Saccharomyces cerevisiae S288C: one gene and its partners. The protein of the gene in region 1 purifies or fractionates together with the protein of each later gene. This does not show direct contact. Each region holds a gene or a part of one and is shown in the gene's direction. Other genes may lie near its edges.

Region 1 (4,633 bases):
GGAGGATTTGGTTACCCAAACTGAAGAAAATAAGAAGCTGCATGAAAAAAATGTACAAGTTTTGGAAAGTGTAGAGAACAAGGAATATCTTCCACAAATTAATGATATTGATAATCAAATATCAAGCTTATTGAACGAAGTGACCATAATCAAGCAGGAAAACGCCAATGAAAAAACTCAACTATCGGCAATTACCAAAAGACTCGAAGATGAGCGCCGCGCTCATGAAGAACAGTTGAAGCTAGAAGCTGAAGAAAGAAAACGCAAAGAAGAGAACTTATTGGAAAAACAGCGCCAAGAGCTGGAGGAACAAGCGCATCAGGCTCAATTAGATCATGAGCAGCAAATTACTCAAGTCAAGCAAACCTATAATGACCAATTGACTGAACTACAGGATAAGCTGGCAACCGAAGAGAAAGAACTGGAGGCAGTCAAGAGGGAAAGAACGCGATTACAAGCTGAAAAGGCTATCGAGGAACAAACTCGCCAGAAAAACGCTGATGAGGCCTTGAAGCAAGAAATATTGAGTAGGCAGCACAAACAAGCTGAAGGTATACACGCGGCTGAAAACCACAAAATACCAAATGACCGTTCACAAAAGAATACGAGCGTCCTTCCAAAGGACGATTCCTTGTATGAATATCATACTGAGGAAGACGTCATGTATGCCTAAAAAAAATAATATTCCACTTTTGTTCAAGGAATATCCCACCTCTATTTTATTTTTCTCTTCTATTCTTTGTCGAGTATCATCAAGTTATCCTTTGATTATTTTCACCCTTCCTAATCTACCTCTCTTTGTAACCGTTTTATGTACCAATATTTACTCAATCAACAATTTATCAACCAGTTAGTTATTCTCTAGTGTTTCGTGCTCAAATAACCGAGTAAGATGGACTCTCTTCTGAAGCACTTTTGCGGGCATTTAACCTCAGCTCGTCACGTGACGGTCGATGAAAAATCCAGGGTATTAAAACTTTCCTTTGGTTATATCGGTATATTCTAAATAAAAGAGAAGCTTATTCTGATCCTTTTGATTCCCTGCTCAATTTTTCATTGAATTGTTTATTTTTGTCATTAATGAAGCTTTCAACCCCATACAGTGTTTTTGCATTTTGCATTTGTCTTTTTCTTGCTTCGTATCTTTTTTTCGACTCAGATTGCAAAGAAACGGCCAACTTATTAACTAGCTTGTCGTCATCTGCAATTGTTATCTTACCCGTCTTAGTGTCCTTCTGTACCTTGCCGATTCTACCCTTCTTGGGTACGTTTTTATTGTCTTCTTCATCGGCGGAACTATCCTGTTTGCTCGAATTCTGTGTTTGCGTAGCGAGATTCCGCAAGGTCTTCTCATAACTCAATTTTGCAAGTTGATCATAGGAAATTCCACCTCTTTGGCTTTGCCCAGTCTTCCCTTGAGGATGCCTACGTTCCCACGCATCATATTCTTGGACAGTGTAATGAAATGCTTTCTCTTTTTCAGGACTTTCTGTATCTCCTACTGATTCATCTGCATCATTTACGTCTTCCATACTGTATACTCTTGGTTTTCGATTTGCGCTTACTTCCTGAATCTCTCTGTCAGCCAACTTCCTACTCTTTATAGATACATCTACTCTTTTCCTTTTCAACTCCTTCAGCTTCTCGTCTAATTTGTAAAAATCCATTCTTCGAATACTTTGACAAGATATGGTTTTGCTTCGCTTACAGTTCAATAGAGAAGTCAAACATTGTCATTGAGAGCCCCTCATCGCAAATATTGCTCTTTTAAGGAAAATATAGTAATATTCTAGCTTTTTTGTCATTCTACACGGAAATGTCTGTATTTTTCAAATTTTTTCATTATGCTGTAGCAGATGCCTGAAAAATTTGAAAACTTTGATGAGATGAGGTCACTGTTAAATTTGTAATATTATATGTCACACCTAGCGCTCCTTGAACAGCAAATCATTCCGGAGGATAGTAAAGATTCAAAATGCCATCCCTGTCTCAACCATTTAGACTAGCAACTCTCCCAAAAATTGCTTCATTGAGCAATTTTTCTTTACAAGCAGATTACGTTCAAGTCGCAGATGGCACCTTTAATGAATCTACAAATAACATAACGTTAGGTATTTCCGGGTCATCTATATCTCAATATATTATTAATCCTACACCAAAGTTAACATTCGATTACCCAATACCCTCTACAAATATTATCACGGCATGCAATGCTGAGAAAGGTCAAGCGAACATTGACGGAAATATAGAAGCCAGTACCGATGATGAAGCCAACAACGAGAAGACTATCAACACCCAAAAAAAAAGAAATGTTGAAATTTGGGCCTTTGGTTTAATGGTAAATAAGGGTAATTATACGCTAAATGTTATCACTAAGGCACTGGAAGATACCACTGATACCTCAAATGACCATCTGAGTGAGAGTGATATTGACAATAAAGCATACACGGGTTCAGACGAATTTTTATCTCAGTATAAGATCAAGGCGAAAGCCAAAGTCATGAGTATTAAAATTGACACCAAGAACAGCTTAGTAATTGCAATTTTACAGAACGGGTTGATTGAAATTTTTGATTTTAAGTTAACACTTTTGCATTCATTTGATATATCTTATGATAACTTAAAATATGCTAAATGGTTCACTGAAAATGGAACTGAATATGTTTTTGTTCTCTGTCCATTACAGGATGATAAAGTCTGCTATAAATTGCTCGAGCTAACAGATTGTGGCAGTGGAGAAAGTTCGCCCATAAAAGAATTATCATCTACTATCATCGAAGGATTTTCTTTTGAAAATTCAAAGCTTTGTTATCAATTTGGAAAACTTTACAAATTGAACCAGGGGAAAATATACATTTACTCTTTACCACATTGCCAATTGCAACAAGTTATTGAATTTCCGATGGTGGATAAACTCAGTCCTGGAGATGACTTAATCTCTTTCCAACCTGTTTCAGTAAACAGAGTTCTACTGACCGTAAACAACGTCATTTATCTACTAGACTTACTGCATTGTTCTACTTTAAGCCAAAGAGAATTAACTCACGTGAAAACATTCCAACTATTAAAATCTGCAGTGATCAATTCAGAAAAGTCGCATAATTCAAAAACAATAGCAATTGGTATTTCAACGAAAAATGGACCAAACCCAACGTCTTCCTTAGAAATAATTAATATTGATGTTGGAACTAATACGTTGAAGGACTCATTAGGCAAGAGTTTTCAAGTTGGAAATAATGATAGCTCAGTTATTTTAAAGCCGCTATTTGATGATAAAGACATAAATGACAAGAGAGTGAAATGTAACGACGTCAGCGGGGATTCAAGCGTTCCAGTCCTCCACTGTAATGAAGTTATTGAAAAGCTTTCAGCCCTTCAAGATAATGACATTACATCATTTGATGACATATTTTTCAAAGAACTAAAAATCAAAGAAGAACATTATACTGAAAAAGATAGATATATTTCTGATCCTGGCTTTTTGAATAAAGTTTTAGATCTAATTTTCGGAAAGTTTAGCGGAAATGATTATCCAAAAACTTTAACGTTTTTATTGACACACCCATTGTTTCCATTGAGTCGTACACGCAACTTGCTATCCTTACTAAGAGACCAACCTAGATTATTTAAACAAGCAATTGTAACATGCCCAAACTTGCCATTAAATGAACTACTTGAAGAATTGTTTTCTATCAGAAACAGGGAACTATTACTTGATATCTCATTTAGGATTTTGCAGGATTTCACCAGAGACTCTATTAAACAAGAAATGAAGAAACTAAGTAAATTAGACGTTCAAAATTTCATTGAGTTCATAACAAGCGGTGGTGAAGACAGCTCACCAGAATGCTTCAACCCTAGCCAAAGCACGCAGCTATTTCAACTCTTGTCCCTTGTGCTAGATTCTATCGGGCTATTTTCATTAGAAGGTGCTCTATTGGAGAACTTAACCTTATATATTGACAAACAAGTTGAGATTGCTGAAAGAAATACCGAATTGTGGAATTTGATTGATACGAAAGGTTTTCAGCATGGGTTTGCTAGCTCAACCTTTGATAACGGAACTTCTCAGAAGCGAGCCTTACCCACTTACACCATGGAATACTTGGACATTTGAGTATGCAATGAATTTGATTGTATTGTATAATACCTATATAGAAAAGGAACTAATATATATAGCGTCTACTGTGGTTACTGATAAACTAACAGGCATTTAGAATTTGAAAACATCATATACATTAGATGTGTCCAACAAGAGATACCGGAATGTTCTGAGGGGAAGAAGATGGAATTTAAAGCTAGTTTGAAATAAAATGGAAGATTGTGATTTTTACAATTTGAATTTAAACCTTTTTTCCTCCTTAGGTGAGGTTACCGAATACTTGCGCACGTCTTCATCTGAGCTATAAAGGACCCTTTCTATAAAGGTAACTCTCGTTGAATCCTTACTCACGAGTAAAACTATTTGAGAGCGAGTTCCGTAGTAATCACCATCAGGAATTGAGGCACCTAAGTCATCCCTGGGAGGCCTCCGTAAAGGTGGTACGTATATGGTATTCATGGTTACATTTGGATCTACCATCTGCAAGACATCTGGGTTTGAAATAGTGCTTGGAAGGGAAGACTTCGAGGC
Region 2 (5,186 bases), on another chromosome or scaffold:
GATGTGCGGGAAATTCTTTACAAGGTAGATATGTATTTAGAAAAGAGAAAAACCAAGGGTGTATAGTTTCGTACTATGAAAATCGAAGTTTTAAGCGGCAAAACACTTGTGTATAGATAATTGTAGTATTATTGTGGTATTTGGTATTTGCAGTATTTTCTTGGCGCTACGATGTGCTTTTTATTTTTGTTTGTTTTATTCTCCTATAGAGTAAGGAGACCTTATATTGTTTTTCTCTTGGTAGAAAGTTGACGCGCGAAGAAAAACATAAAAAAAACTGACAAGATACTACTATTATTAACCATATACACGGAAATACCCACAGAGTATACAAACACACATATATATATATATATATATATAATTTTAAAGATAAATTAGAAGTGTTCCCTTTCTCTTTTCTCAGGACCGGTCGTATCCCTCCGGTAGTTCATCAACCTCTACAACAGGGATCTGTACTGAACCTACCGCTCCCTGTGCCAGCTCTAGACGATATTGCAATTTGGATCTGATAGCTACATGCTCTGCCGTTGAGGTGTACCGCAGTCCTTGCTGGCACATTTGAATAGCCTGTGTATATTCACCCAGTTTGATCAGCGCCATGGCTTTGTTGCTGTACCCGACCGGGTTCTGCGGTTGAGCAGTAATTAGTTGGTCATAACAGTGCACAGCCTCGCGATACAGGCCCTGTTTGAACAAAGAATTGCCCTGTTCCTTCTGCTTTTCAAATTGGCTCATGCTCTTTACCGTTGCTCTCTCTTTCGCAGTGCTGAAAAGAAAAAACCGTTCAAGAAAATTGCGTCTTGTGCAGTCATATACGCTGGGATATATATATATATAGATATATATACATATATATAGGAATATGTAACAAGAAAAAAAAAAGAGAGAGGAAAGAAAAGCTCAATGGATGACGATCACGAACAGTTGGTCGAAGAACTGGAGGCCGTCGAGGCCATCTATCCGGATCTTCTCTCCAAGAAGCAGGAAGACGGAAGCATCATCGTTGTGAAAGTGCCGCAGCATGAATACATGACACTGCAGATCTCCTTCCCGACACACTACCCCTCCGAGGAGGCTCCTAATGTCATCGAAGTTGGTGTCTGCACTTCTTTGGCTAAGCGCGATCTCTACGATACCAAGTACCTTCAGCATTTGTTCCAGGAAGTGATGGACTCTGTTTTCCACCGCGGATCTGTCTGTCTATTTGACTTCCTCACAGAACTCGACGGTGTCTTGTACGTTGAACCAGAGGAGGAGACAGAACCGGTCCAGCAGAGTGACATTCCCACAGACCCCTTCGAGGGCTGGACCGCGTCGGACCCCATTACTGATAGAGGCTCGACTTTCATGGCCTTTGCAGCACATGTTACCTCCGAGGAACAAGCGTTTGCCATGCTAGACCTACTGAAGACCGACTCCAAGATGCGTAAGGCAAACCATGTCATGAGTGCATGGCGAATCAAGCAGGATGGCTCTGCGGCAACATATCAAGATTCCGATGATGACGGTGAAACGGCCGCCGGCTCCAGAATGCTGCACCTCATCACCATCATGGATGTGTGGAACGTCATCGTTGTGGTGGCCCGTTGGTTCGGCGGTGCCCACATAGGTCCCGACCGGTTTAAACACATCAATTCTACGGCAAGAGAAGCTGTTGTCAGGGCCGGCTTCGACTCGTAATCATTATGATTATGTCAAGCACCTGTAACCTTGATCACATGCGACGGGAGTTCTTTTTGAAATTTTTTGGAAAAATTTTGCGATGAGCTGAAAGATGAAAAAAAAAAAAGTTTCGAGTATAGTTCTAGGTATGTACAATAACTAGTATAATATCAATAATAGTAATAATAGTATCGTTTTCAACAGGTAGACAGGAGAGCAGACCGCAGATTGAACCGCATCCCAATGAAATCCGATTTCAAGTTCTCTAACCTTTTAGGTACGGTCTACAGGCAAGGTAACATCACCTTTTCCGATGATGGCAAGCAACTACTCTCACCGGTGGGGAATAGGGTCAGCGTGTTTGACTTAATCAACAACAAATCGTTCACGTTTGAATACGAGCATCGCAAAAATATTGCTGCCATTGATCTGAACAAACAAGGCACATTGCTGATTTCTATTGACGAGGACGGTCGCGCCATCCTTGTCAATTTCAAAGCCCGTAACGTGCTTCACCATTTCAACTTCAAAGAAAAATGCTCCGCTGTGAAGTTCAGCCCTGATGGGAGACTCTTTGCATTAGCCTCAGGCAGGTTTTTACAGATTTGGAAGACTCCAGATGTTAATAAAGACAGACAGTTTGCTCCCTTCGTCCGCCATAGGGTGCATGCGGGACACTTTCAAGACATAACGTCTTTGACGTGGTCACAAGATTCCAGATTTATCCTTACGACTTCCAAAGACTTAAGCGCAAAAATATGGTCCGTAGATTCAGAGGAAAAGAACCTTGCGGCGACAACATTTAATGGGCACAGAGACTACGTTATGGGTGCGTTCTTCAGTCATGATCAGGAAAAAATCTACACTGTAAGCAAAGACGGTGCTGTCTTTGTCTGGGAATTTACCAAGAGGCCATCCGATGACGACGACAATGAAAGTGAAGACGACGACAAGCAAGAAGAAGTAGATATTTCGAAATACAGCTGGAGAATCACAAAGAAACATTTTTTTTACGCAAACCAAGCCAAAGTAAAGTGTGTCACCTTCCATCCAGCAACAAGGCTTTTAGCTGTCGGATTTACTAGTGGGGAATTCCGTCTTTACGATTTGCCTGATTTCACTTTGATTCAACAGCTTTCTATGGGGCAAAACCCAGTCAACACCGTTAGCGTCAACCAAACCGGCGAATGGCTGGCGTTTGGTTCCAGCAAACTGGGCCAATTACTAGTTTACGAATGGCAATCGGAATCGTATATCTTGAAGCAGCAGGGCCATTTCGATTCCACAAATAGTCTTGCATACTCTCCGGATGGTTCACGTGTAGTGACAGCATCCGAAGATGGGAAAATCAAAGTTTGGGACATTACATCAGGGTTTTGTTTGGCCACTTTTGAAGAACACACCTCTTCAGTTACTGCTGTACAGTTTGCGAAAAGGGGTCAGGTCATGTTCTCATCATCGTTAGATGGTACGGTGAGAGCGTGGGACTTAATCAGGTATCGTAATTTTAGAACATTCACTGGTACTGAAAGAATCCAATTCAATTGTTTAGCGGTGGATCCATCAGGTGAAGTGGTTTGTGCCGGGTCCCTGGACAATTTTGACATTCATGTTTGGTCCGTGCAAACTGGTCAATTATTAGATGCTTTGTCCGGACATGAAGGCCCTGTTTCGTGTCTTTCATTTAGTCAAGAGAACAGTGTCTTAGCTTCTGCATCATGGGATAAAACAATTAGAATCTGGTCCATATTTGGTAGAAGCCAACAAGTAGAACCTATAGAAGTTTATTCCGATGTTTTAGCCTTATCAATGAGACCAGATGGTAAAGAAGTTGCAGTATCTACCTTAAAGGGTCAAATATCCATTTTCAACATAGAAGATGCCAAGCAGGTGGGCAACATTGACTGTAGAAAGGATATAATATCTGGTAGGTTTAATCAAGATAGGTTCACTGCCAAAAATTCTGAACGATCCAAATTTTTTACTACAATACATTACAGTTTTGATGGTATGGCTATTGTGGCTGGTGGTAATAATAACTCCATTTGTCTATATGATGTTCCAAATGAAGTCTTGTTAAAAAGATTCATTGTGTCCAGAAACATGGCTTTGAATGGTACTCTCGAATTTTTAAACAGTAAGAAAATGACTGAAGCAGGTTCATTAGATTTGATTGACGATGCAGGCGAAAATTCAGATTTGGAGGATCGTATTGATAATTCTTTACCAGGGTCTCAAAGAGGTGGCGACCTGTCCACAAGAAAAATGAGACCAGAGGTTAGAGTTACTTCGGTGCAATTCTCCCCAACGGCGAATGCATTTGCCGCTGCTTCAACGGAAGGTTTATTGATATATTCCACCAATGACACGATATTATTTGATCCCTTTGATCTGGATGTGGACGTCACCCCCCATTCTACTGTAGAGGCGCTACGAGAAAAGCAGTTTTTAAATGCATTAGTAATGGCGTTCAGGTTAAATGAAGAATATTTGATCAATAAAGTCTATGAAGCCATACCTATTAAGGAAATCCCCTTGGTTGCAAGTAATATTCCTGCAATATATTTACCGAGGATTCTGAAGTTCATCGGTGATTTTGCCATTGAATCCCAACACATTGAGTTTAACCTAATTTGGATCAAAGCTCTATTATCTGCGAGCGGTGGTTACATAAATGAACACAAATATCTCTTCTCGACGGCTATGAGGTCGATACAAAGATTTATTGTTAGAGTGGCTAAGGAAGTAGTCAATACCACTACTGATAACAAATACACCTATAGATTTTTGGTATCAACTGATGGGTCCATGGAAGATGGCGCGGCTGATGATGACGAGGTTCTATTAAAAGATGACGCAGATGAAGATAACGAAGAGAACGAAGAGAACGATGTAGTCATGGAATCTGACGACGAGGAAGGATGGATTGGTTTCAATGGGAAGGATAACAAATTACCCTTGTCTAATGAAAATGATTCCAGTGATGAAGAAGAAAATGAGAAAGAGCTTCCTTGAAAAATATTCACTGTCCTCTATTTATGCACATTCACATCATGTATTCCCCAAGTATAGAACTATATAAAGCATTACATTTGTATTTAATATCAACAAAAAAAAATATCATCGCCAATATCGATATACATCATGATGAGAGCGCCTAATATAAACTGAGGCTACCATTACGGGAGTCGTCCTTTGACTGACGAGGCTATTTTCCTTATATATAAGGCATCATCGCTTCAGTAAAAAAAAAAATAGGAAGGGAAAAAATGAAGAATTGATGGGATGAGGAAAAAATTTGACACAAATTTATCGACTACCGTTTCATACTATCATCGGGAGAACAATTACACTAAGCCTTATAAAATTATTGATTCATCAAAAAAGAAGATAACTAAATAACAATGCCTATGAACAATTTTCTAGATGAATTCAATTTATTTGATTCAATCATTACCATGATGAAGAACGACCCATGTTGCGTCGAGGATTATGAGCCAATCGTCGAAAACCTGAACCGT
Region 3 (5,654 bases), on another chromosome or scaffold:
GTGCAGCATCAACATTTGGGCCCAACTTTACGATTTGGCCGGCTGCATCACAGCCTAAGAGGGCACCTTGAGGACCAATCTTGAAATCAATATGTTTCCAATCGGTAGGGTTACCGGCAACGGCGACAGTCTTAATTAGAACAAATCCTTCTTCTAATTCAGGAATTGGAATGTCCTGTTTGACTACAGCCTTGCCATTTTCAATGACAACGGCTTTCATGGTTTCTGGAATCGAGGCGGACATGCTTGATATGCAGTATGATATTGCTTTTTGCTGTGTATAGTTAACGATTTTTTTTCAACTAGAATTACAGTACTAATCAAGAAGTGAGAGGAAGAAAACGGCAAAAAAAAAACTCTCTCCTTTTAAATCGAAGCATTGCCGAAATACCTTAAAAACGGTCTTAAATCCTTAACATCTGTCCTTACTAATCGATGCCAATCCAACGGAGGGAGCCCATATGCTAGGTACTAAGAGTACGCAGGGGCGGAACCGCGCGACAACCGTAAGCGGATCCGAGGAACTTTAGTCAGCAGGGGCTGTGATGACCATTAAAAAATTGCGGACACAGGTAGTGGAACGAGCAATCAATGTGATCAATTTGCCATTTCATTCCACGAAATGGTTTCCATTCTAAGCATGAATGCTTTGACGTTACGGGTGTTGGTTATTTCGGTTCTTTTTATTGCTTCCGTGGGCACGTACGAGAAGGGAAGATGAATAGAAAAAGAGTTTCCGAGTTTTGTATGTCCAATGTTTACATAATTTATATAACTTGAAGTTTAATCTTGGCATAAAGCTCTAGTTGTGACGAAGTGTGTAGGCCATCACATCAGTTCTCCAGTTTTCTACCCAATTTTTTTATGGATACCTTGATTTTTGGTTTAGGGCTGGATGTCTTTACGCCCTTTATTTGTGTTTTACTGCCCAAACTAGTGCCGGTCTCTAAATATTTTTCTGTATTAGTAGTAGAATCGTTCTCCATTAGTAATGCTTTTTTTTTCTTTTCAAAATTGATTGCCTTGACGTCTAAGTAGTTATTCAGTTCTTTTTCCTTTTTTAGCAACTCATTCTTGCTCTTCTGGTAAAATTCCAGGTCCTCTTTACTCAACCTAGTAAAACTTTCACGGTCTCTCACCAAACCGTTATATTGTTTTTGTTTACTAATAGCATTAGACCTAAGCTGATCTCGCAGGGACTTCCTGGTTTTCCTTTTATATTCCGCTTCATATTTTTTTTGCTCCACTTGCTCTCGTATCCTCTGGGCCTCTACATTACCAACTCCTTCTGACACGAATTTCAGTGGTTTTTTCTCTCTTGCACTATTAGCATTATTATCACTGGTAGATGACATGATGATATAACAGAGCCCACAGTCTTTTGTTGGAACCGCTTTCTCTAGGCTTCGATGGACTTACATCTAATTGCACATTCTCGTGCGTTTAAACGTCATTTTTCCCTCAGATTGGCAGTGCATCAAAAGTAATTCCTAGGGACGACAAAAAGGCGGAAAAGGTTTCAGAAAAATAAGCGGACTTAGCTCAGTTGGGAGAGCGCCAGACTGAAGAAAAACTTCGGTCAAGTCATCTGGAGGTCCTGTGTTCGATCCACAGAGTTCGCAATTTGAAAAATTTTTTTTAATGATTACGCATGTGGATGTGTTCAGTATCAACCGATGCTCGCTTTTCCAATCAAATGATACAAGCCAGACCGAACATTGCATGTTTTCCATTGTAACTTCCCAGGTATATCTGAATTAGTTGTAAAAAGTAATAGTTTACCCGGAATCGTGTGAAAAATTTTGAAAAAAAAAAATGAAGAGCCAAGATACAATGAGATGAGATGAGGTGCTGAAGATGCATGGAGATTCTGTATTTATCTCAAATAAAGTACGCAATAGAGTATATAAGCCAAGTCACCTTTTATATTTCTTAGTTTTTAACTTGCAAAGACTTATAAGAGACTTATAAAACAAGGAGAAAATGGCCAAAAAAGCTATCGATTCAAGAATCCCGTCACTGATCAGGAATGGTGTTCAAACCAAACAAAGGTCCATATTTGTCATCGTTGGGGACAGGGCACGTAACCAGCTCCCAAATTTACATTATTTGATGATGAGTGCTGACCTTAAGATGAACAAGTCCGTCTTATGGGCTTATAAGAAGAAGCTTCTAGGATTCACTTCGCACAGAAAAAAAAGAGAGAATAAAATTAAGAAAGAAATTAAAAGAGGTACAAGGGAAGTGAATGAAATGGACCCTTTTGAATCTTTTATCTCTAACCAAAATATCAGATATGTATACTACAAAGAGAGTGAGAAAATATTGGGTAATACCTATGGTATGTGTATTCTTCAGGACTTCGAGGCATTAACCCCAAATCTTTTAGCAAGAACCATTGAAACTGTAGAAGGTGGTGGTATTGTGGTTATTTTATTGAAATCAATGTCATCGTTAAAGCAACTGTACACCATGACTATGGATGTTCACGCCCGTTATCGTACTGAGGCTCATGGTGACGTTGTTGCAAGATTTAACGAAAGATTCATACTTTCTTTAGGTTCAAATCCAAACTGTTTAGTCGTTGATGATGAATTAAATGTTCTACCGCTATCTGGTGCCAAAAACGTGAAACCACTACCTCCTAAGGAAGATGACGAATTGCCTCCAAAGCAATTAGAGTTGCAAGAATTAAAAGAATCCTTAGAAGATGTCCAACCAGCTGGTTCATTGGTTTCTCTATCCAAAACTGTCAATCAAGCCCACGCTATTCTTTCTTTCATTGATGCCATTTCGGAAAAAACTTTGAATTTCACAGTTGCACTAACAGCTGGAAGAGGTAGAGGTAAGTCTGCTGCTTTAGGTATTTCTATTGCCGCGGCCGTTTCTCACGGGTATTCTAATATTTTTGTTACTTCTCCATCTCCCGAAAATTTAAAGACTCTATTTGAGTTTATTTTCAAAGGATTCGATGCCTTAGGTTACCAAGAACACATTGATTATGATATCATTCAATCTACGAACCCCGACTTCAACAAAGCCATTGTGAGAGTTGATATTAAAAGAGATCACAGACAAACGATTCAATATATTGTTCCTCAAGACCATCAAGTTCTGGGCCAAGCTGAATTAGTTGTCATTGATGAAGCTGCAGCTATTCCTTTGCCAATCGTCAAGAACTTGCTGGGCCCATATCTAGTCTTCATGGCATCCACTATCAATGGTTACGAAGGTACGGGTAGATCTTTATCTCTGAAGTTAATTCAGCAATTGCGTAATCAAAACAACACATCCGGTCGGGAAAGTACTCAAACCGCCGTTGTTTCGAGAGATAATAAGGAAAAAGACTCTCACTTACATTCTCAATCCCGTCAATTACGTGAAATTTCCTTGGACGAACCAATCAGATATGCTCCTGGTGACCCAATTGAAAAATGGTTAAACAAGCTCTTATGTTTAGATGTTACTTTAATTAAAAACCCAAGATTTGCAACAAGAGGAACTCCTCACCCATCCCAATGTAATCTATTTGTTGTCAATAGAGATACTCTATTTTCTTATCATCCTGTCTCAGAAAATTTCCTGGAAAAAATGATGGCACTGTACGTTTCATCCCATTACAAGAATTCTCCAAACGACTTACAACTGATGAGTGACGCCCCAGCGCACAAACTATTTGTTCTTTTACCACCAATTGATCCAAAGGATGGCGGCAGGATCCCTGACCCTCTATGTGTCATTCAAATTGCATTGGAAGGTGAAATCAGTAAGGAGAGTGTCAGAAATTCATTATCGAGAGGCCAAAGAGCTGGTGGTGATTTAATCCCATGGCTGATCTCTCAACAATTCCAAGACGAGGAATTCGCTAGTTTGAGTGGTGCTCGTATCGTCAGAATTGCCACTAATCCTGAATACGCATCCATGGGCTATGGTTCTCGTGCAATTGAATTACTGAGAGACTATTTCGAGGGTAAATTCACTGACATGTCTGAAGATGTTCGTCCTAAGGATTATTCTATAAAGAGGGTGAGCGATAAGGAACTGGCCAAAACTAATTTATTAAAGGATGACGTTAAATTAAGAGACGCAAAAACGTTGCCACCTCTACTATTAAAACTTTCTGAACAGCCTCCTCATTATCTACATTATTTGGGTGTTTCATATGGTTTAACGCAATCGTTGCATAAATTCTGGAAGAATAACAGCTTTGTTCCTGTTTATTTACGTCAAACCGCAAACGATTTAACTGGTGAACATACTTGTGTTATGTTGAACGTTTTGGAAGGCAGAGAATCAAACTGGCTCGTTGAATTTGCCAAAGATTTCCGTAAAAGATTTCTGTCGCTTCTTTCTTATGATTTTCATAAGTTTACTGCCGTTCAAGCCTTAAGTGTCATTGAAAGTAGTAAGAAAGCACAAGATTTGTCTGATGACGAAAAGCATGATAATAAAGAATTGACGCGGACGCATCTGGATGACATTTTTTCTCCATTTGACTTGAAAAGATTGGATAGCTACTCAAATAATTTGCTAGATTATCACGTTATCGGTGATATGATACCCATGCTTGCTCTTTTGTACTTCGGCGATAAAATGGGAGATTCAGTAAAACTATCAAGCGTCCAGAGTGCTATCCTGTTGGCTATAGGGTTACAGCGTAAAAACATCGACACTATTGCCAAGGAATTGAATTTACCTTCCAATCAAACTATTGCTATGTTTGCGAAGATCATGAGAAAAATGTCTCAGTACTTCCGTCAGCTGTTAAGCCAATCAATTGAAGAAACTCTACCAAATATCAAAGATGATGCTATTGCTGAAATGGATGGTGAAGAAATCAAAAATTACAACGCTGCAGAAGCACTGGACCAAATGGAAGAAGATTTAGAAGAAGCCGGTTCTGAAGCCGTTCAGGCGATGAGGGAAAAACAAAAAGAGCTAATCAACTCCTTGAACTTAGATAAATACGCCATAAATGATAACAGTGAGGAATGGGCTGAATCTCAAAAATCTTTAGAAATAGCTGCCAAGGCCAAAGGCGTCGTCAGTTTAAAAACTGGTAAAAAGAGAACGACTGAAAAGGCTGAAGATATCTATAGACAAGAGATGAAAGCTATGAAAAAACCAAGAAAGTCTAAAAAGGCTGCAAATTAAGCGTTCTACTCTTTGTCAAACCCTTTTATAGCTAAACGTTTACTTAATTTGTACAATAATATAGAATAGAAACATAGTTGATGTTTGAACCTTTACATATTCCTTTCAATCGTGTCGAGCGATATAAGTATTACGATTATGCCGGCGAAAACTGAACCCGTTTTAGACAATTTCAATCAACATACTCCACTCCGTAGTGAGTAACTTTTGGAGTAATACGAAGTAACCAAAGAGGTCAAAACGGAACTATATACCCCAAAATAAGCATCATTCAAATGGTCGAATTAACTGAAATTAAAGACGATGTCGTTCAATTAGACGAACCACAATTTTCCAGAAATCAGGCCATCGTGGAAGAAAAGGCTTCTGCAACAAACAACGACGTTGTCGATGATGAAGATGACTCTGATAGTGATTTTGAAGATGAATTTGATGAAAATGAAACATTGTTGGACAGAATCGTTGCTTTAAAAGACATTGTCCCCCCAGGTAAGAGACAA
Region 4 (4,665 bases), on another chromosome or scaffold:
GATCTGAGATAATCCGACACTTACTCGAAAATCTCTTCATTTAGCTTGCAAACCGTGCATGATTTCCTCTTTTGTAATTAAATGGCCTATTGTTTCTATATGTTCTAATAGTTCGTCAACATTATGTGACCATTCGTTCAATAATTGGCTTGAGTTTTTTGGTTTTTCAAAATTCACGATTTTGGCTGGGCGATTAACTTTAGCGTATATGATGCCCTGGTTTACCAAATCACTGATGTATGTTTCCGTCTGGCTCTCCGTTAGGTCCAGCAATTCATTCAATCTTAGTAAAGTAATTCTGGAATAGTATTCGGAAATGACTCTTAAATTGTGCTCGATGACCCTTTTTTGTAAATCTTCCCAGTGATGCTTATTAGCTTCTCCACCAAATGCCAAATCATCCTCATTTAAGACGGGCTCATAGGTTTTTTGAACAATTGGCCATCTCATCAACTCATTCGTAGTAAACAATTTTACTAAAGATTCTTGGCTTTCTAATTTTTTCAGGTTGTTATCATTCTGGATTTTGTGAATTAAATCATTTTGTAAATTGCCGTAAGGTGAAAGGACTAAGAAATATACAATGTGCGATAAAACAGGTTTCCACTTAGCCTCATCTGATTTAATGGCGTCTGTTTGATAAATTTCTTGCAGATACTGCGCAACTTCTAGGTATTCTCTCTTGTGCAAACTAATTTTTACCAGAAGATTATAATATTCTAGCTTCAATGACTCGTATTTTGGATTTTTAAAAGTTTTTTTCAGAATTTTTCTTGAAAGCACCGTGGCTTGGGAATAATCACCTTTTAATATACTCAATTCCATTTGCTCTAATATAAACTGAATTTTCTCAGACATTTCCATGGAGCCATAGGTCTCAACCTGTAACTCACACAAGATGTCTGCAGCTTCATCAATCTTACCCTCTTCTTTCTTAATTTCCACCAAATCTTTGGTGACCCTAGCTCTTTCCACTTCTACAAATATTTTGTTCTCTGTAACCACCCTGATAGTTTCAATGACACTAATTCTGGTGTTTAAATCCAAAGATTTCGAGCTTTTCAAATATTCCATAACCTTTTGTATCATATACTGAATTGACAATTTCAACTGACCATGCTTTTTTGAGAGTAGAGTCAATTGCTCATTTAGGTCGTCCCACTTATTCCTTGATGCTAGCAGATCTACAATCTTGGCCAAAACTTCTTTCGAGGAGGCCAGATCTGAAGCTTGTCTGGTTTTCTTCTCCAACACTAACAGTTGGTCTAAAGCAGAGTTACAATCATTTTGAGCGAGCGAATCGATCTTAGGAAACTCTTCCTTCAAAATTTGGCTATAATCCTTGTCAGCCTTAATTGGTGCATCTCTTGACATCTTTCTCTACGTTTACTCTAGCAACAAAAATGGTAGTGAGCCCAGCAGTATATTCCTCTACTCTCTTAATTCAAGATTATCTCTGATGTAGTGTCCTGTTATGGTTTTTCCTTGGATTCCCCTTTGCATTTTGCCACCGAAAAGTCAAAAAGATCACATACAAGACGGGTAATATTGGGGCGATGAGCCGTACAGAACGAGTGAAAAATTTTAGGATTTATTAGGAATAATAATGATAATTTAGAGATGAGCATTTAGCGAGAAGCATCTGAAGGTTGCACTAATTATTACTGTAAATAGTACAGTTGAGAAGCAAATAAAAGGGAAGATCAAATACATGGCCGGTTCACAACTTAAGAATTTAAAGGCCGCCTTGAAGGCCCGTGGACTCACAGGTCAAACAAACGTCAAAAGTAAGAATAAAAAGAATTCCAAAAGACAAGCGAAGGAGTATGATCGTGAAGAAAAAAAAAAGGCCATTGCTGAAATCAGAGAAGAGTTTAATCCGTTTGAAATAAAGGCTGCAAGGAATAAGAGGAGAGATGGTCTGCCTTCTAAAACTGCTGATCGTATTGCTGTGGGTAAGCCTGGTATCTCTAAACAGATCGGTGAAGAACAAAGAAAGCGTGCATTTGAAGCAAGAAAAATGATGAAGAATAAACGTGGTGGTGTGATCGATAAGAGATTTGGTGAAAGAGACAAGTTGTTGACGGAAGAAGAAAAAATGTTGGAACGTTTCACCAGAGAAAGACAAAGCCAATCAAAGAGAAACGCAAATTTATTCAATCTTGAAGACGATGAAGACGACGGTGACATGTTTGGAGACGGTCTTACACATTTAGGTCAATCGCTGTCCCTAGAAGATGAGCTTGCCAATGATGAAGAGGATTTTTTAGCTTCCAAACGATTCAATGAAGATGATGCTGAGCTACAGCAACCTCAAAGAAAAAAAACCAAAGCTGAAGTCATGAAAGAGGTCATTGCCAAATCAAAATTTTACAAACAAGAAAGACAAAAGGCTCAAGGTATAATGGAAGATCAAATAGATAATCTGGATGATAATTTCGAGGATGTTATGTCTGAATTGATGATGACGCAACCCAAGAAGAATCCAATGGAACCTAAGACCGATCTAGATAAGGAGTATGATATCAAAGTGAAAGAACTACAATTGGACAAAAGAGCTGCACCCTCTGATAGAACTAAAACTGAAGAGGAGAAAAACGCTGAAGCTGAAGAAAAAAAACGGGAGTTGGAACAACAGCGTCTTGATCGTATGAACGGTATGATTGAATTAGAAGAAGGCGAAGAAAGAGGAGTAGAGGATTTGGATGATGGATTCTGGGAAAATGAAGAAGACTATGAAGACGATAATGACGGTATTGCTGATTCTGATGATGATATCAAATTTGAAGATCAAGGCAGAGATGAAGGGTTTTCTCAAATTTTAAAGAAAAAGAACATTTCCATTTCATGCCCTAGAACTCATGATGCGTTATTAGATCAAGTAAAAAAATTAGACTTAGATGATCATCCTAAGATTGTTAAGAATATTATCAAAGCTTACCAACCAAAATTGGCTGAAGGTAATAAGGAAAAGTTAGGAAAATTCACCGCTGTTTTACTGAGACACATCATTTTTCTAAGCAATCAAAACTACCTTAAAAACGTTCAAAGTTTTAAACGTACACAAAATGCATTGATCTCAATTCTAAAATCCCTTTCAGAGAAATATAATAGAGAGCTTTCCGAGGAGTGTAGAGATTATATCAATGAAATGCAAGCACGCTATAAAAAGAACCATTTTGATGCTCTATCAAATGGTGATCTGGTATTTTTTTCCATTATTGGTATTCTTTTCTCCACCTCGGACCAGTACCATTTAGTAATAACTCCAGCATTGATTTTAATGAGCCAGTTCCTGGAACAAATCAAGTTTAATTCTTTAAAGAGGATAGCTTTTGGCGCTGTCTTGGTAAGGATTGTTTCACAATATCAACGCATTTCCAAACGGTACATACCGGAGGTGGTTTACTTCTTTCAAAAAATATTACTCACTTTTATAGTTGAGAAAGAAAATCAAGAAAAACCATTAGATTTTGAAAATATTAGACTAGACTCTTACGAGTTGGGGCTTCCATTGGACGTTGACTTTACAAAAAAGAGATCAACTATTATTCCATTACATACCTTGTCAACAATGGATACCGAGGCACATCCGGTTGATCAATGTGTCTCCGTTTTACTAAATGTTATGGAATCTTTAGATGCAACTATCTCTACTGTGTGGAAGAGCTTACCTGCTTTCAATGAAATTATTTTACCGATTCAGCAGTTATTAAGTGCATACACCTCAAAGTATTCTGATTTTGAAAAGCCAAGAAATATTTTGAACAAAGTTGAAAAATTAACGAAATTCACAGAACATATTCCGTTGGCTTTACAGAACCACAAACCCGTATCCATACCTACGCATGCTCCTAAATACGAAGAAAACTTCAATCCTGATAAAAAATCGTACGATCCTGATAGAACAAGAAGTGAGATAAATAAGATGAAGGCCCAACTAAAGAAGGAACGTAAATTCACTATGAAAGAAATCCGTAAAGACGCCAAATTTGAAGCTAGACAAAGAATTGAAGAAAAGAACAAGGAGAGCAGCGACTACCATGCAAAGATGGCTCATATTGTTAACACTATTAATACCGAAGAAGGTGCGGAAAAAAACAAGTATGAAAGAGAAAGAAAACTACGTGGCGGAAAGAAATAACCAATAATAATAATTTATTAACCTCTTTTTTTCTTATTAGGCTTCTCAGAGACAACTGTATTATTTATGAAAAAGAAAAGAACTACTCATTTCTAAAACAGGGAAGGGATTCTCTTATTATTGTAGTACAAAATTAGTGGGAACTGAATAATATATGCATTTAGGTAAATACGAAAAAGAAAGGAAACAGTTATATATATAGTTATATTGGATGATGTACACGACACAGTCTGCCTTATCTTCCGACGTCAGACTTCTTGTAATACTCTTTAACAAGTCCTAAGACACCACCCTTATTGAGTATGCCATTACCATTGTAATTTGAGTTTAGCATTTTATTATGGTCTATTACATCATGATTAGGGAATGCGCCCGAATCAAGGAAAGACTCTGTTAGTACGTATTCATGATCATTATTGCCATTATTGTCATCATTTTTAGCTGTAGCATTATTGGTCCCGTTCTTAATGTCATCACCATTATTATTGTTATCCCAGTTCTTGCCGGGATTCCTTGTAGAA

Evidence for each region.
Region 2: the proteins of UTP8 (region 1) and PWP2 purify together in Saccharomyces cerevisiae (affinity purification with mass spectrometry; 7 studies listed by BioGRID). This does not show direct contact.
Region 3: the proteins of UTP8 (region 1) and KRE33 purify together in Saccharomyces cerevisiae (affinity purification with mass spectrometry; 3 studies listed by BioGRID). This does not show direct contact.
Region 4: the proteins of UTP8 (region 1) and NOP14 purify together in Saccharomyces cerevisiae (affinity purification with mass spectrometry; 4 studies listed by BioGRID). This does not show direct contact.

What each region holds. Positions count from the first base shown.
Region 1 is NC_001139.9:747,434-752,066, reverse strand, and holds UTP8 (Utp8p), read left to right. Parts: upstream 1-1,975; coding exon 1,976-4,117; downstream 4,118-4,633. Other genes in the region: YGR130C (uncharacterized protein), read left to right, coding at 1-673; SYF2 (Syf2p), read right to left, coding at 1,020-1,667; YGR127W (uncharacterized protein), read right to left, coding at 4,331-4,633. UniProt on the Saccharomyces cerevisiae protein: Involved in nucleolar processing of pre-18S ribosomal RNA. Also has a role in nuclear tRNA export. It acts between the steps of tRNA maturation/aminoacylation and its subsequent translocation out of the nucleus.
Region 2 is NC_001135.5:219,951-225,136, reverse strand, and holds PWP2 (snoRNA-binding rRNA-processing protein PWP2), read left to right. Parts: upstream 1-1,908; coding exon 1,909-4,680; downstream 4,681-5,186. Other genes in the region: TAH1 (Tah1p), read right to left, coding at 403-738; YIH1 (Yih1p), read left to right, coding at 907-1,683; CTR86 (Ctr86p), read left to right, coding at 5,070-5,186. UniProt on the Saccharomyces cerevisiae protein: Required for bud-site selection and cell separation. Also involved in nucleolar processing of pre-18S ribosomal RNA.
Region 3 is NC_001146.8:373,338-378,991, forward strand, and holds KRE33 (ribosome biosynthesis protein KRE33), read left to right. Parts: upstream 1-1,983; coding exon 1,984-5,154; downstream 5,155-5,654. Other genes in the region: YNL134C (uncharacterized protein), read right to left, coding at 1-244; FYV6 (Fyv6p), read right to left, coding at 834-1,355; TOM22 (Tom22p), read left to right, coding at 5,430-5,654. UniProt on the Saccharomyces cerevisiae protein: RNA cytidine acetyltransferase with specificity toward both 18S rRNA and tRNAs. Catalyzes the formation of N(4)-acetylcytidine (ac4C) at positions 1280 and 1773 in 18S rRNA.
Region 4 is NC_001136.10:187,633-192,297, reverse strand, and holds NOP14 (snoRNA-binding rRNA-processing protein NOP14), read left to right. Parts: upstream 1-1,711; coding exon 1,712-4,144; downstream 4,145-4,665. Other genes in the region: proteasome regulatory particle lid subunit RPN5, read right to left, coding at 37-1,374; autophagy protein ATG9, read right to left, coding at 4,380-4,665. UniProt on the Saccharomyces cerevisiae protein: Involved in nucleolar processing of pre-18S ribosomal RNA. Has a role in the nuclear export of 40S pre-ribosomal subunit to the cytoplasm.